Linked DNA regions of Nothobranchius furzeri. The protein of the gene in region 1 purifies or fractionates together with the protein of each later gene. This does not show direct contact. Links are inferred from orthologs where the notes say so. Each region holds a gene or a part of one and is shown in the gene's direction. Other genes may lie near its edges. The genes, in order: rad9a, claspin and rfc5.

What was found.
Region 2: the proteins of rad9a (region 1) and claspin purify together in Homo sapiens (affinity purification with western blotting; 3 studies listed by BioGRID and IntAct, with this or other methods). This does not show direct contact. The link is inferred for Nothobranchius furzeri from reciprocal best matches to the Homo sapiens genes RAD9A and CLSPN.
Region 3: the proteins of rad9a (region 1) and rfc5 purify together in Homo sapiens (affinity purification with mass spectrometry; 3 studies listed by BioGRID and IntAct, with this or other methods). This does not show direct contact. The link is inferred for Nothobranchius furzeri from reciprocal best matches to the Homo sapiens genes RAD9A and RFC5.

The regions. Positions count from the first base shown.
Region 1 is NC_091741.1:91,717,553-91,721,923, forward strand, and holds the start of rad9a (cell cycle checkpoint control protein RAD9A), read left to right. Parts: upstream 1-1,531; 5' UTR 1,532-1,759; coding exon 1,760-1,793; intron 1,794-1,892; exon of another isoform or gene 1,893-1,899; coding exon 1,900-1,970; exon of another isoform or gene 1,971-1,994; intron 1,995-2,098; coding exon 2,099-2,172; intron 2,173-2,266; coding exon 2,267-2,315; intron 2,316-3,653; coding exon 3,654-3,768; intron 3,769-3,899; coding exon 3,900-3,999; intron 4,000-4,194; coding exon 4,195-4,301; intron 4,302-4,371. UniProt on the Homo sapiens protein: Component of the 9-1-1 cell-cycle checkpoint response complex that plays a major role in DNA repair. The 9-1-1 complex is recruited to DNA lesion upon damage by the RAD17-replication factor C (RFC) clamp loader complex.
Region 2 is NC_091759.1:26,753,947-26,758,015, forward strand, and holds the start of claspin, read left to right. Parts: upstream 1-1,171; 5' UTR 1,172-1,306; coding exon 1,307-1,333; intron 1,334-1,929; coding exon 1,930-2,038; intron 2,039-2,114; coding exon 2,115-2,437; intron 2,438-2,518; coding exon 2,519-2,665; intron 2,666-2,781; coding exon 2,782-2,841; intron 2,842-2,921; coding exon 2,922-2,994; intron 2,995-3,073; coding exon 3,074-3,176; intron 3,177-4,069.
Region 3 is NC_091750.1:34,481,244-34,484,853, forward strand, and holds part of rfc5 (replication factor C subunit 5), read left to right. Parts: intron 1-211; coding exon 212-341; intron 342-3,610. UniProt on the Homo sapiens protein: Subunit of the replication factor C (RFC) complex which acts during elongation of primed DNA templates by DNA polymerases delta and epsilon, and is necessary for ATP-dependent loading of proliferating cell nuclear antigen (PCNA) onto primed DNA.

The DNA.
Region 1 (4,371 bases):
GTGTCTTGCAGGAGAGGGAGCGGCAGCTGCACCTGATCAGCTAATCAGCAGGTTGACTTCTTAAGGAGGAAGGTGACACTACTCGACGCCGGATGATTGCTACTGACTGGTAGTTTCCAGCCCTCGTACTTGGCTCTTGGTTTTTGTGAACATTATTATGTGTACCTTTTCCTGGGACTTTTGTGACTTTACGTCTCTTGGATCTCTGACCTCAGGTTCTCCTCGTCTCTGGATTATTCCCTCACCACGCTTAATAGGACTCTGCTCTGCTCACACGCCACGTCATCCATTCACCTCTGACCAACCCGCTCTCCAACGACTACCCGCTCCCTCTCCAGCTCTGGAACCGCACACCTGGATACCCCCGGCTCGTTACCCATCCCCTCACTCGCTGAACTCATTTTACCCCAACACTGCGTTTCCCCTGTCCACTGGAATTCCCAGTGCGCCCTCAGTTACCGTTATCCACGAATAAAAATATTATTTTTCATTATACTGTCTCCTGGGTTGATTCTGCATGTCTTGGGTTAGACACCTTCCTCAGAACATGACACAGCAGTGCCACAGGCTGATTGCCTCCATGCCCCCCCACACTGAAGCAGTCATTTCTGCAAACGGATTCCCGACCAAGTATTGAGTGCATAACTGAACATAATAATTTGAAGGTTGACTTTTTTTGTATTAAAAACACTTTTCTTTTGTTGGTTGGATGAAATATGCAAAATTTTTGGGATAGGAATTTTGGGTTTTCATGAGCTGTATGCAATCATCAATATTAGAAACAATAAAATGCTTGAACTACTTCAGTTGTGTGTGTAATGAATCTAATATATATGAAAGTCTAATGTTTATCAGTACATTACAGACGATAATGAACTTTATCACAATATGCTAATTTTTTTAGAAGGACCTGTACACCCTCTTTCTCAACACTGAGTCTACTCTGCTAATTACAGCTATTAATAGCATGCTTCTTCAAAATGAAACAAATAAGAAAGCATATTTGGAATAACCTGTTCCTTCTAAATTCTCTGAACTAAATCATTCATCTTCTTTGTAATGCTGTGATTGGTTGGCCCAGCCTGTTTTGAGACATACAGTACGTTCAGATTTAATTCTTCTGATAGACTCTGAGGTATAAAACAAGAAGAATCCAGATAAACTTTGAGTTGCTTGTTGTCTAAGTCAACATTTAAAAAAAGAAAGGAACGAGTCGGCTAGGTCATTGGTTTATGTTTATAAATATGTTAAAAAACATAAACACAGGAATTAACTAATGTTGCTTTTTTATTAGTCATTAAAAAATATTATTAAATACGTAACTAATATGTTCCCTCATTATAAACAATTATTTTAATATAATGGCTTATATATTTAGATAGTTAAATTACACATAAACATCGTTTTATTTTCAAAAAAAAAAATCAGTAAACGTGTGTAAACGGATTGCGCATGCGCTTACAGAACCCACGTTCGTTTCGGTTCTTCCCTCTCCCTGATTGGTCCATAATGCGGAAATGGGTTATGGCGGCGTAAACAAGAGGCAAGAAGGATGGGGTTGAGCCGAAGTTACCGCTGATAAAATATATATATATATTTTTTTTTGTTACAAAATAAGAAGAAAACAATGTTTTTGACAGGAAGACTCGTGTTCCCTGGACACTTCATTAAACCCTAACCGTTTTTCTTCGCGGTGGTGGATGCTAGTTTTGTCTAACATTTTTCTTGATTTGCTAACTTAACGGAAAAGTTAGTAGAAATGCAGTGTGTGGTGACTGGAGGAAACGTGAAAGGTAGCGAACCGTGTCGGTTGGTTTGACAGCGAAAATAATGAATCGTTGACATTAACTGTGTGGCTGTGCGTGCGTGTGTGTGTGTATGTGTGTGTGTACCGTCCAGTGCTGGCCAAAGCCATCCACTCCCTGTCCAGGATCGGAGACGAGTTGTACGTGGAGCCGCAGGGTGACGGGGTGAGCTGAACTGATGCTTTGATAAACCGACACTTCCTGCCGTGCATGTAGTCTGGTTGCTTCCTGTTGGTGCACACTTTGCGTCAATGAACAGTGCTGAATTTGTTGTTTTTCTCTCTCTCTCGTAGCTGGCCCTGCGGTCCGTGAACTCTTCTCGGTCGGCGTACGCATGCTTCCTGTTCGCACCGCTCTTCTTCAGCAGGTGCAGACTCTCCCCTCTCTGTGTGGAATTTAGATTGGGTCAGTGAACAGCACATTCATGGGAGAACTTAAAGGCCATCTCATTTCTCATGCAGGTACAACATCCGTAAAGAGGTCAACTTCCGCTGCAAGATGGCAATAAAGGTGTGAGAATAGAAGCTGTTTAGAGTCTGAATTGTAAAGTTATTTGTGTGAGAAGAGGCAGTAAAATAGAAAATTGAGTTCTTCCACATCAACATGCAGTAATGGGATAAACATTTGTTTAAAAATGACAGAGACTGGGGTGGAAATTAGTAAATAAGCAGCCAAAGTCCAAAGAAAATCTCTGAAAGATGCTCACAGAGCTTTAACTGTCACATAAAATCACTTTTAATGGTCACAAGGACATCTGACTAATTGGAAGCAATTTAAAAAACTAATGGATGATTTCAAATTTTAGGTCCCATAGTGTTCTATCACTGCAGACGGTTTAGCTGTTGTATGCTTGCTTTAAGACAACCATTTGGTTGGCTTTGCACTTTTTGCTGCCCCACCTAGATTTTATCTGCATGTTTTTGTTGGTTTTTAAATGGTTTTATATGTTTTTATTTTTTAATGTTTATTTCTGCTGTGCAGTGCTTTGTTTGGTCCTTGGGCCATGTGAAGGCGCTATATAAATAAAGTTTAGTAGTAGTAGTATTTGGATAACGATGGTGCTACGTGGTTTGACTCTGCTCTGTTTGACCAGATTTTTTCCTCCTGAGCTTTTACTGGGGGTAGATTTGGGATTAGTAAAGCCTCATAAGGTTATTTTTGAACAACTGGCAATTTATAAATTACAAATATTCAATGTTCAAAATTCTAAAGATGTCATTTAAAAAGGTGTTAGTCAAACAAATAAATCTATATATTTTGTAAAGAAGCCAGCATGCTCTTGAGTACAGGGTAGATATGTAATATTGTTACTTCTGCTTCAGTTTGGGAACTCAAGCTTAGAGCTGAATTATTTTTGTGACTTTTAGCTGTTCTGCTACATTAGTATAAGTCTGGTCATTAGATGTATTCATTACAAATGTTCTGACCTTTACAGCCCTCAGGCTCACCTCCTGGCTAAAGGACCTGTTGTTTTAACAAACAGTCCAAAGTTAGTTATAGTTATGAGTAACTAACTCGCTGCTGAACCGGAATGAGTTGAATGAAGTTAGAAGTTTTGTCGTGCTCATTTACAAATGTCATCTTCCCTGTTGTGTTGCTACCAGAGGCTTGTTGTGGTTACCTGTGTGAATTTTTTTTTATTAGTTGCAAAACCTCTAAACTTCCTCCTGATGGTTGCAGACAGACTTACAGAGTAAAACGGGTTACTTTTCTTATGAAAATGTTCTGAAAGTCAAAAGGCAGTTTAGAACTTCACGATCTTCTAATTAATCCTCATTTCTGCTGCACGTTAACATGGACATGGTGCTGTCTCTGTTAAATAGATGTTTTTCCCTGTGTGTGAATCAGAGTGTGCAGACTGTGTTCAGATCTGTGGCGACTTTGGAGAAAACTGTAGAAAAGTGTCACATAGAGCTTGATGAAGCAAAGGACCGCTTGACTTTCACGCTGCACTGCAAACACGGTAACAGAGCCCCTCCTGCACCTCAGCTACAACACGTTTATTCTGACACATTTCTGACTAATTGCTCTGAATTCATTACATTTTATTCTACGGTGTGTCATTTAGACCTCTAAGGGTTTGTTTCTCTGCAGGTCTCCTGAAGACACATAACCTGTCTTACCAGGACAGTGAGAGCTTACAGGCAGTGTTTGATAAAGATAGCTATGCCAATGTATTCAGAGCCCATCCCAGGTCTGTAACATCTGTCTGTGGACTTTTAAATGAAGCATTTATGCTCTTTCTGTTGGATTTCTTAGACTTAATGTTCATAATGCTGCTTTTAAAGACTAATCTCTGTCATTTTTAACCGTGTAATTAAAAACAAAGTGGCATTTTGTTTAGTTAAATATACTATGAAGAATTTATTTCTGTTTTCTTTGTTGGTAGGTTGCTGGTGGACACAGTTGTTCACTTCCCTTTATCTGTGGAAGAAGTGACTGTGACAGTGAGCGATGAACGGATGTGGGTCAGGAACCATGTGGAGGACGAAGCAGGTGGCAAGATTTTTACTTTTCTCTCCCAGCCCAGAGCTTCAGCTCATTGAATCTGTTTGTTCTGATCATC
Region 2 (4,069 bases), on another chromosome or scaffold:
TTAAAGATCCTGAACACCCTGAAGTTAAGGAGCCTACCTTGGTCTGAGTCAGAGACTGGGATGGCATGGATTCTGGAAAAACAAGAGAATCTAAAATGCAGACAAAAACAGCATTATGACAAGACCACAAGGGCACTTAGACTGCTTACAAAGGATGATGTGGTGAGAGGCCAAGATCAAAATGCATGGAGCAGAAACGCCATTGTTCCTCAGTAAGCTGACCCAAGATCATATGAAGTAAGACCTGAAGGTCGTAAACTCAGAAGGTACCGTCATAATCTGCTGAAGAGCAAAGACGCCTTTTAGGAGGAACAATGTGGTGAGAAGGCAAGCTGTTGTGGCTCAAGCAGAGATGGTGCCTGCCATAGGAGGACATGAAAAGCAGAGGAAAGTGATGTCTCTCCAGGACCTGTGTTGAGGAGGTCAGCGTACCACCAGAAACCAGTCGGGGTTCATCTATTGTCGTATTTCTATGTTGAGCGTACTGCAGAGAGAGGGGTGAGATTCTTCTAACGCACGGTCGTGCACTCGAGCCTGCGCACGTGCCCAAGTGCACTTACAGAAGACCCGGAGACCGCAGATTCAGGCTTGTACTGTTTTGAGACAGCGACCTCTAAAGGATCAACGTGTAACTGCAACTGCAGATTCAAGCTTAACCGTTATTTATAAATAATATGTAATTGTCGGTGAAGCTTATTAAAATAGTTTATTCGTTGTTAACGCTTCAGTGAAGTAGTTCTCAGAATACAAATTTGAAAATTCCTGAGTAAATTTTAATAATAAAAGCTTTTATCATATTTATTTAATTGAAGTTGTTTGTAGAAACAAAAATAAAAAACTTTCCGATCGTACTCCATCTTGGAACGCTAGCTAACAGTGGGCGGCGCTGTCTCAAAAACAGTACAAGCCTGAATCCTGTGGGGCGCAGCAAACTTAGCCGCCCGCCTGCGCAGCGCTGGTGGATGTTTTAATTCCTCCACTAACTGTGTCGTCACACTGGGCGGATACCTCCGTCACAGATGGTCCAATAGCAGGGCGAGAAGCGCTGGACTGACAGCTCGCTGGTGAAAGACCGCGGGCCAGCTGTCACGGCGCGCGAAAGTGTAAACTTTGTGTTCGGTGAGCGGGTGAGGCGGGAGGAAGCGGAGCTGTCCGGTAAAACGCGGCCTAGCTGTTCGGTAAGGAGCTGCAGTAGAGTTCTTTTCACGGACACGTTGTTCTCGGTGTCGGTAGCGGCTGTAGCCGTTAGAGGAGCGGACGGAGCCTCGTCCCTGCCGGGAGCGGGCGGACCAACCGGAGCACAAAGATGAGCCTTGTCCTGTCTCACCTGCAGGTAAAGACGCTAGCAGGCGGCGTCAGTGGAAGGTGTACAGACAGGTACATGTGAGACAGGTGTGTGTTCAGCGTGCTGGAGGGAAACGTCACCAACAAGGTGCTAAGGTGCTGTTAGCCGCTTAGCTGCTAACACCGAGGAATCGGTTCTTCCGTTCACCTCGTTCTAATTCGGTAGAGCTCCGTTAAAAAGTCACATCAAACAGTCCGAAGGTCCGGTAGCCGTTACCGGACAGCTGGGCGTTCGGTCCGACACGGTTATCCAGCTGTGACGTTGATTCATTGTTTTACTGACCGAAGGCGCCATGAATCCGGCTAGCAGCTGGTCTGGGATCAGCTAGTCCGCCTTGACCCAGACCGTGTTTCTGATCAGGACTGGTCCCAGACCAGTGTCTCTCTGTGGCCCGGAAACCAGTCCGAACCAGGTCAAACGGCTCTGGTGTGAGAGGTGGAACAGCTACGGGTTCTAGACCCGGTTCTCACACACACACACACACACGCACACACACACACACACACACACACACACACACACACACACACACACACACACACACACACACACACACACAGGCTCTGAAGTCTGTCTCTCTTCAGACTGAGGCGTTGGCCCGAGCAGCACCACAGAGCCACTGGGACAGCGGGATGGGTCCTCCTGCAGAGGAGGAGGTCCCAGAGACGTCTGATAGAGGAGATGAGTGTCCAGGTGAGACAGACCTGCTGCAGGACGCTCGTGGACAATCAGGAGAAACCGTGGTCCCCTAAATCAGTTTTTCTCTCAGATTCAGATGATGACATCACAGTTCACAGGAAGCCTCGGCGTAACGCCATCAGAGACAGTGACAGTGAGGAAGAGGAGGCACCAAGACGCCTGGAGCTGTCTGAAGAAGCGGTACCTGCCTCTAGTGAGGACGAAGAGAGGAGGAATAAAGGAGGACAGAGGAGCAACAGAAAGGCTCGTGCATCTGATGGTAGCGATGGAGAGCACGAGGAAGAGGAGGAGAATAAAAGAGAGAAGAGTCAAAGGCATCGAAAGAAGAAAGAAAAACGCAGCAAAGTGGTGGAAAGCCTGAAAAGGAGAAGGAGGTCTGGTGGAGGAGAGGAGGTGAGTTCCGTCTGAAATTTTCATCCAAATAAATCCAGAAATCTTAAAAATAAACTGGTCACCTTTTGCTCTTTCCATCAGGACGTTCCTCTTCCTCCAGCGCTGAACGACAGCGGCTGTCCTCTGGGTGATCCAGAGCTGTTTAGCACCGGTCTGGAGGAGGAGGAGGAGGAGGAGTCTCTGGACGCCATCAGAGCTGCGGTCAGACAGAAAGTGAAGAAACACAAAGTAAGAACAAGATGTTTACGTCACTCTGACCCTAACTCCGCTCGTGTTCTGGATGAGAAGAGTCCGGACGTGTTTCAGGAGGAAGTTTTGACTAAACTTGTTAAATGTGACTGTAGGACCCCCTCCTGGAGGAAGAGGAGGAGGATGAAGAGGTCCCAGAGAAGCCCCAGCGAGCGGTAGGATACAGCACCACGTTAGACCAGGTAGACGACTCGGACTGAAGGTAGAATAAACTGATTGTCTCTGGGGGCTCCAGGAACGGAAAGCAGCTCGAGCCAGCAAGGAGGCGATGAAGCAGCTTCACAGTGAGAGCCAGAGGCTGGTCCGAGGTCAGTTCCCCTGGCTCTGCTCTGCTTTAGCTGCAGGGGTTTGATCTGCAACACGCTAAACGTTTCTCTGCGTCTGTAGAGTCGACGCTTGGGTTGCCATACCACATCCCTGAACCCAAAACCATCGAGCAGTTCTTCAAGAGGAGGACCCGGCCGGAGGGATCGGCCATGGCGCTGCTGAAGTAAACAGTAACAACTAGTAGCCCTGCGTTGGCGCGGCCCTGGGTTGGGTCGACGCGGCCCTGGGTTGGGTTGGGTCGACTCGGCCCTGGGTTGGGTTGGGTTGACGCGGCCCTGGGTTGGGTTGGGTTGACGCGGCCCTGGGTTGGGTTGGGTCGACGCGGCCCTGGGTTGGGTTGGGTCGACGCGGCCCTGGGTTGGGTCGACGCGGCCCTGGGTTGGGTTGGGTCGACGCGGCCCTGGGTTGGGTCGACGCGGCCCTGGGTTGGGTTGGGTCGACGCGGCCCTGGGTTGGGTTGGGTCGACGCGGCCCTGGGTTGGGTCGACGCGGCCCTGGGTTGGGTCGACGCGGCCCTGGGTTGGGTTGGGTCGACGCGGCCCTGGGTTGGGTCGACGCGGCCCTGGGTTGGGTCGACGCGGCCCTGGGTTGGGTCGACGCGGCCCTGGGTTGGGTTGGGTCGACACGGCCCTGGGTTGAGTCGATGCGGCCCTGGGTTGGGTCGACGCGGCCCTGGGTTGGGTTGGGTCGACGCGGCCCTGGGTTGGGTTGGGTCGACGCGGCCCTGGGTTGGGTTGGGTCGACGCGGCCCTGGGTTGGGTTGACGCGGCCCTGGGTTGGGTTGACGCGGCCCTGGGTTGGGTTGGGTCGACGCGGCCCTGGGTTGGGTTGGGTCGACGCGGCCCTGGGTTGGGTTGGGTCGACGCGGCCCTGGGTTGGGTCGACGCGGCCCTGGGTTGGGTTGACGCGGCCCTGGGTTGTGTTGGGTCAACGCGGCCCTGGGTTGGGTTGGGTCGACGCGGCCCTGGGTTGGGTCGACGTGGCCCTGGGTTGGGTTGGGTCGACGCGGCCCTGGGTTGGGTCGACGCGGCCCTGGGTTGGGTCGACGCGGCCCTG
Region 3 (3,610 bases), on another chromosome or scaffold:
AAAACTAAAATATTAGGTGAACAGAAATGACAAGTTACAGTGAAGCCATTTTCAAACAACTGCATTGGTATCGGTTAACCTTTACCGATACTGGTATTGGTGCCGATACCAGTATCGTATCGGTGCATCCCTACCTGGAAGTGTTAAGTCGCCACAGCGTTCATCATCACATCAGTAGAGGGGTAAACTGGTGCTCTCTCTGGGATTTCAGAGCACCAGCATGGCGTACGGGAAGGTCACGGAGGACACGGTGTACACCTGTACGGGCCAGCCCCTTCGCTCAGACATCGCCAACATCCTGGACTGGTGCCTCAACAAAGACTTCAACACTGCTTACAACCGTATCCTTCACCACCACCTAATGTGTGGTGGTAGGGCTGCACAATATGTCGTAAATATATCGTTATCGCGATATCTGCATGCACGATATGCATATTGCAAAGAACAGATAAATATCGCAATGGTCAGCTCAAATGTTTGCTACACATGATGCGTTCTGTCAGATGGAGGCATGATGTTTTCTTAACAAATAAAAGAGCTTTTCACCCGTTTGGCCAGTCGGGTGGGTTCTCATGCGTTGGAGGCCCGCCCCCGAGGCGGACGGCACTTAATTTTGATGGTTGGCAAACGCCTGAGTCAGCTTAGTTCTGCTGATTTAGCCTTTCCCGGGATCCACCGATCGCCTTTTCTTTTTCCCTTTCCTCGCATCTTTTGCTTTTCTCATTTTTATGACTTTTTTTATTTCTTTGTTTTTGATTATTTTAGTTCCTGAGTTAAGTTTTTATTTATTGCAAATAGAGGTGCTGAAAAAAATCGATTCAAGTCTGAATCGGGATTCTTGTTTATAAAGATTCAGAATCGATCCACAAAGGTTCAGAATTGATTCCAAGAACTGAAATACTGAAACTGAAACTGGATGACCCGGTTCCGGTTGAGTGAACGCTGGCGCGTCTCGCTGCCGCTGCTCGCTGGCAAACAAACTTTTTGTATTTTTTTTTTCTTCTTTTTCACCCTGGTCACATCCCTGTGTCGGTGAAAACTCATTTTCACCTACCTGTTCAGCTTGCGTTCTGGTTGCACATCACCACCTCCCTGCTCCACTCCATAATGAGGTCCAGCAGGATTTCTGTGTGCCTCGCACTGGCCTGGATCATCCTGTCGCTCATTCTTCTGTCCGTGGATGGCCTTCTCCAGTACTCGGCGGCGGAGCTCTTCAACCTCCGCTTTCGCTACTCCGGATCTCCACCACCAGCTCTGTGCCTCTTCCCCGACATCACCTTCCAGCCTCGCCGTCGGTATATCCATCGGGGGTCCCGGCGGAACCTCCATCTCGACGGCTCCAAAGGAATACCCTCCTTCTGGTCCACGACTAGCCGGCGGCTACCCAGGAATACCTGCCGAGCTGCCGACTCCAGCGTGTTAGCCCGGCTGGCTAGTCGGACTAATGCTCCTGTCGCCAGGGACTTCCGCACTGCTAATTTTGGTCTTCTCAACATTCGCTCCCTCTCTGGTAAAGGACATCTCCTCCAAGATACCATCAGTGACCATAAGCTAGACTTTCTTTGTCTGAACGAAACATGGCAACAACCCAGCGATTTCTCACAACTCAATGACTGTACTCCTCCCGGATTTGTTTACCTCTCCAAACCCCGTGGGTCGGGCCGCGGCGGTGGTCTCGCGATACTGTATCGCGAGACTTGGAAGGTCCTTCCCGTAAACCTTCCTCCTCTCACCACTCTGGAATGCCTCGCCTGTCAACTCTCCGGCCCGACCCCCACAATAATTGTCACTGTTTATCGTCCCCCCAAGTTCAGCCCTGAGTTTTTAAATGAACTCTCTGCTCTTTTATCCCATCTGTCCGCCCTTTCCCCAAATGTAATTTTACTTGGTGATTTTAATATTCATATGGACAATATGGCCCTCCCCCTCAGCAAAGACTTCTCCTCATCTTTGGACAGCCTCAGTTTTCATCAATATGCCAATTTTCCCACTCACATTAAAGGTCACACCCTGGATTTAATCTGCTGCTCCGGCCTGACCCCCTCCAACTGCACAGCTGACCCGCTCCCTTTCACGGACCACTTCCTCATCTCCTTTTCTGTTCCCCTCCGTCTCTCCATCATCAAGTCACCACGTATCATTTCTTTTCGTAATATTAAGGACATTGATCTAGCCTCCCTGTCCTCCAGTTTTGCCACCCTGACCCCTAATTTGTCCTCTACTCCCGATGATCTTGTCATTCAGTACAATAACGGTCTGGTTTCTATCCTTAATTCATTTGCTCCCATCAAATCCCGCTCTGTATATTTTACTCGGTCTGCTCCATGGTTCACCCCTGCCCTTCGCTCCTTGAAAGCTACCAACCGGAGGCTTGAAAGACTCTACAAGAAAACCGGTCTCACCATCCATAAAGACTTATATTCTGCTCAGATTTCTCTCTACAAGGACTCCATCTCCCATGCCAAATCTCAGTATTACTCCGGTCTCATCTCGTCCAACTCCAGCAACACTAAAACATTATTTTCCATCATGAACAGCATTTTTCAGCCTCCCGACTCCTTACCCATCCATCTTTACTCTTCAGAAACCTGTAACTCTCTCCTTCAGTTTTTTAATGAGAAGGTCAATAGAATCCATCTCTCTTTACCTCATTCCTCCCCTCCCTCTCCTGATTTATTTGAACCCACCATTCCGTTCTCCTCCTTTGAACTTCCCCATCCCTCAGAAATATTAGATTACATCACCAAATCCAAACCTTCCACCTGTCAACTGGACCCTATTCCAACTGTTTTAGTTAAATCCTGCCTTTCTTCTCTGCTCCCTTTTATAACAGCCATTATTCATTCCTCACTATCCTCTGGTACGGTCCCATCCCTATTCAAATCCGCTTCAGTCAGCCCTATTCTAAAAAAACCTGGTTTAGATCCCAATGATTTCAATAACCTCCGTCCCATTTCCCATCTTCCCTTCATTTCCAAAGTCCTTGAGAAAACTGTTGCATCTCAGCTCCATTCACATCTCACCCGCAATAACCTTTATGAACAGTTTCAGTCTGGCTTCCGTCCCCACCACAGCACAGAAACAGCACTTATTAAGATCACTAACGACCTACTCATTGCTGCTGATTCTGGTTTAATCTCTATTCTTATTCTCCTCGATCTGAGTGCGGCCTTTGACACCATTTCTCATCCCATCCTCCTTAATAGACTCTATTCCTTAGGCATCACTCACACCCCCCTCCGCTGGTTTCAATCTTACATTACTGGCCGCACTCAGTTCATCCAGTTAAAATCCTTTACCTCAGAACCCTCCCCAGTCAAGTCAGGTGTGCCCCAGGGCTCTGTCCTGGGGCCCCTCCTCTTCATAGTATATCTCCTCCCTATCGGCAAAATCTTCCGCAAATTCAATATCCAGTTTCACTGCTTTGCAGATGACACCCAGCTCTACATTTCCAGTAAGCCCAACTCAACTCTCCCACCATCCTCCCTTACACTCTGCCTCTCTGAAATCAAATCATGGTTCACCTCTAATTTCCTCAAACTCAACGGCAATAAAACTGAACTTCTTCTAGTTGGCACTAACTCCACCCTCTCAACATCTGACAGCTTTT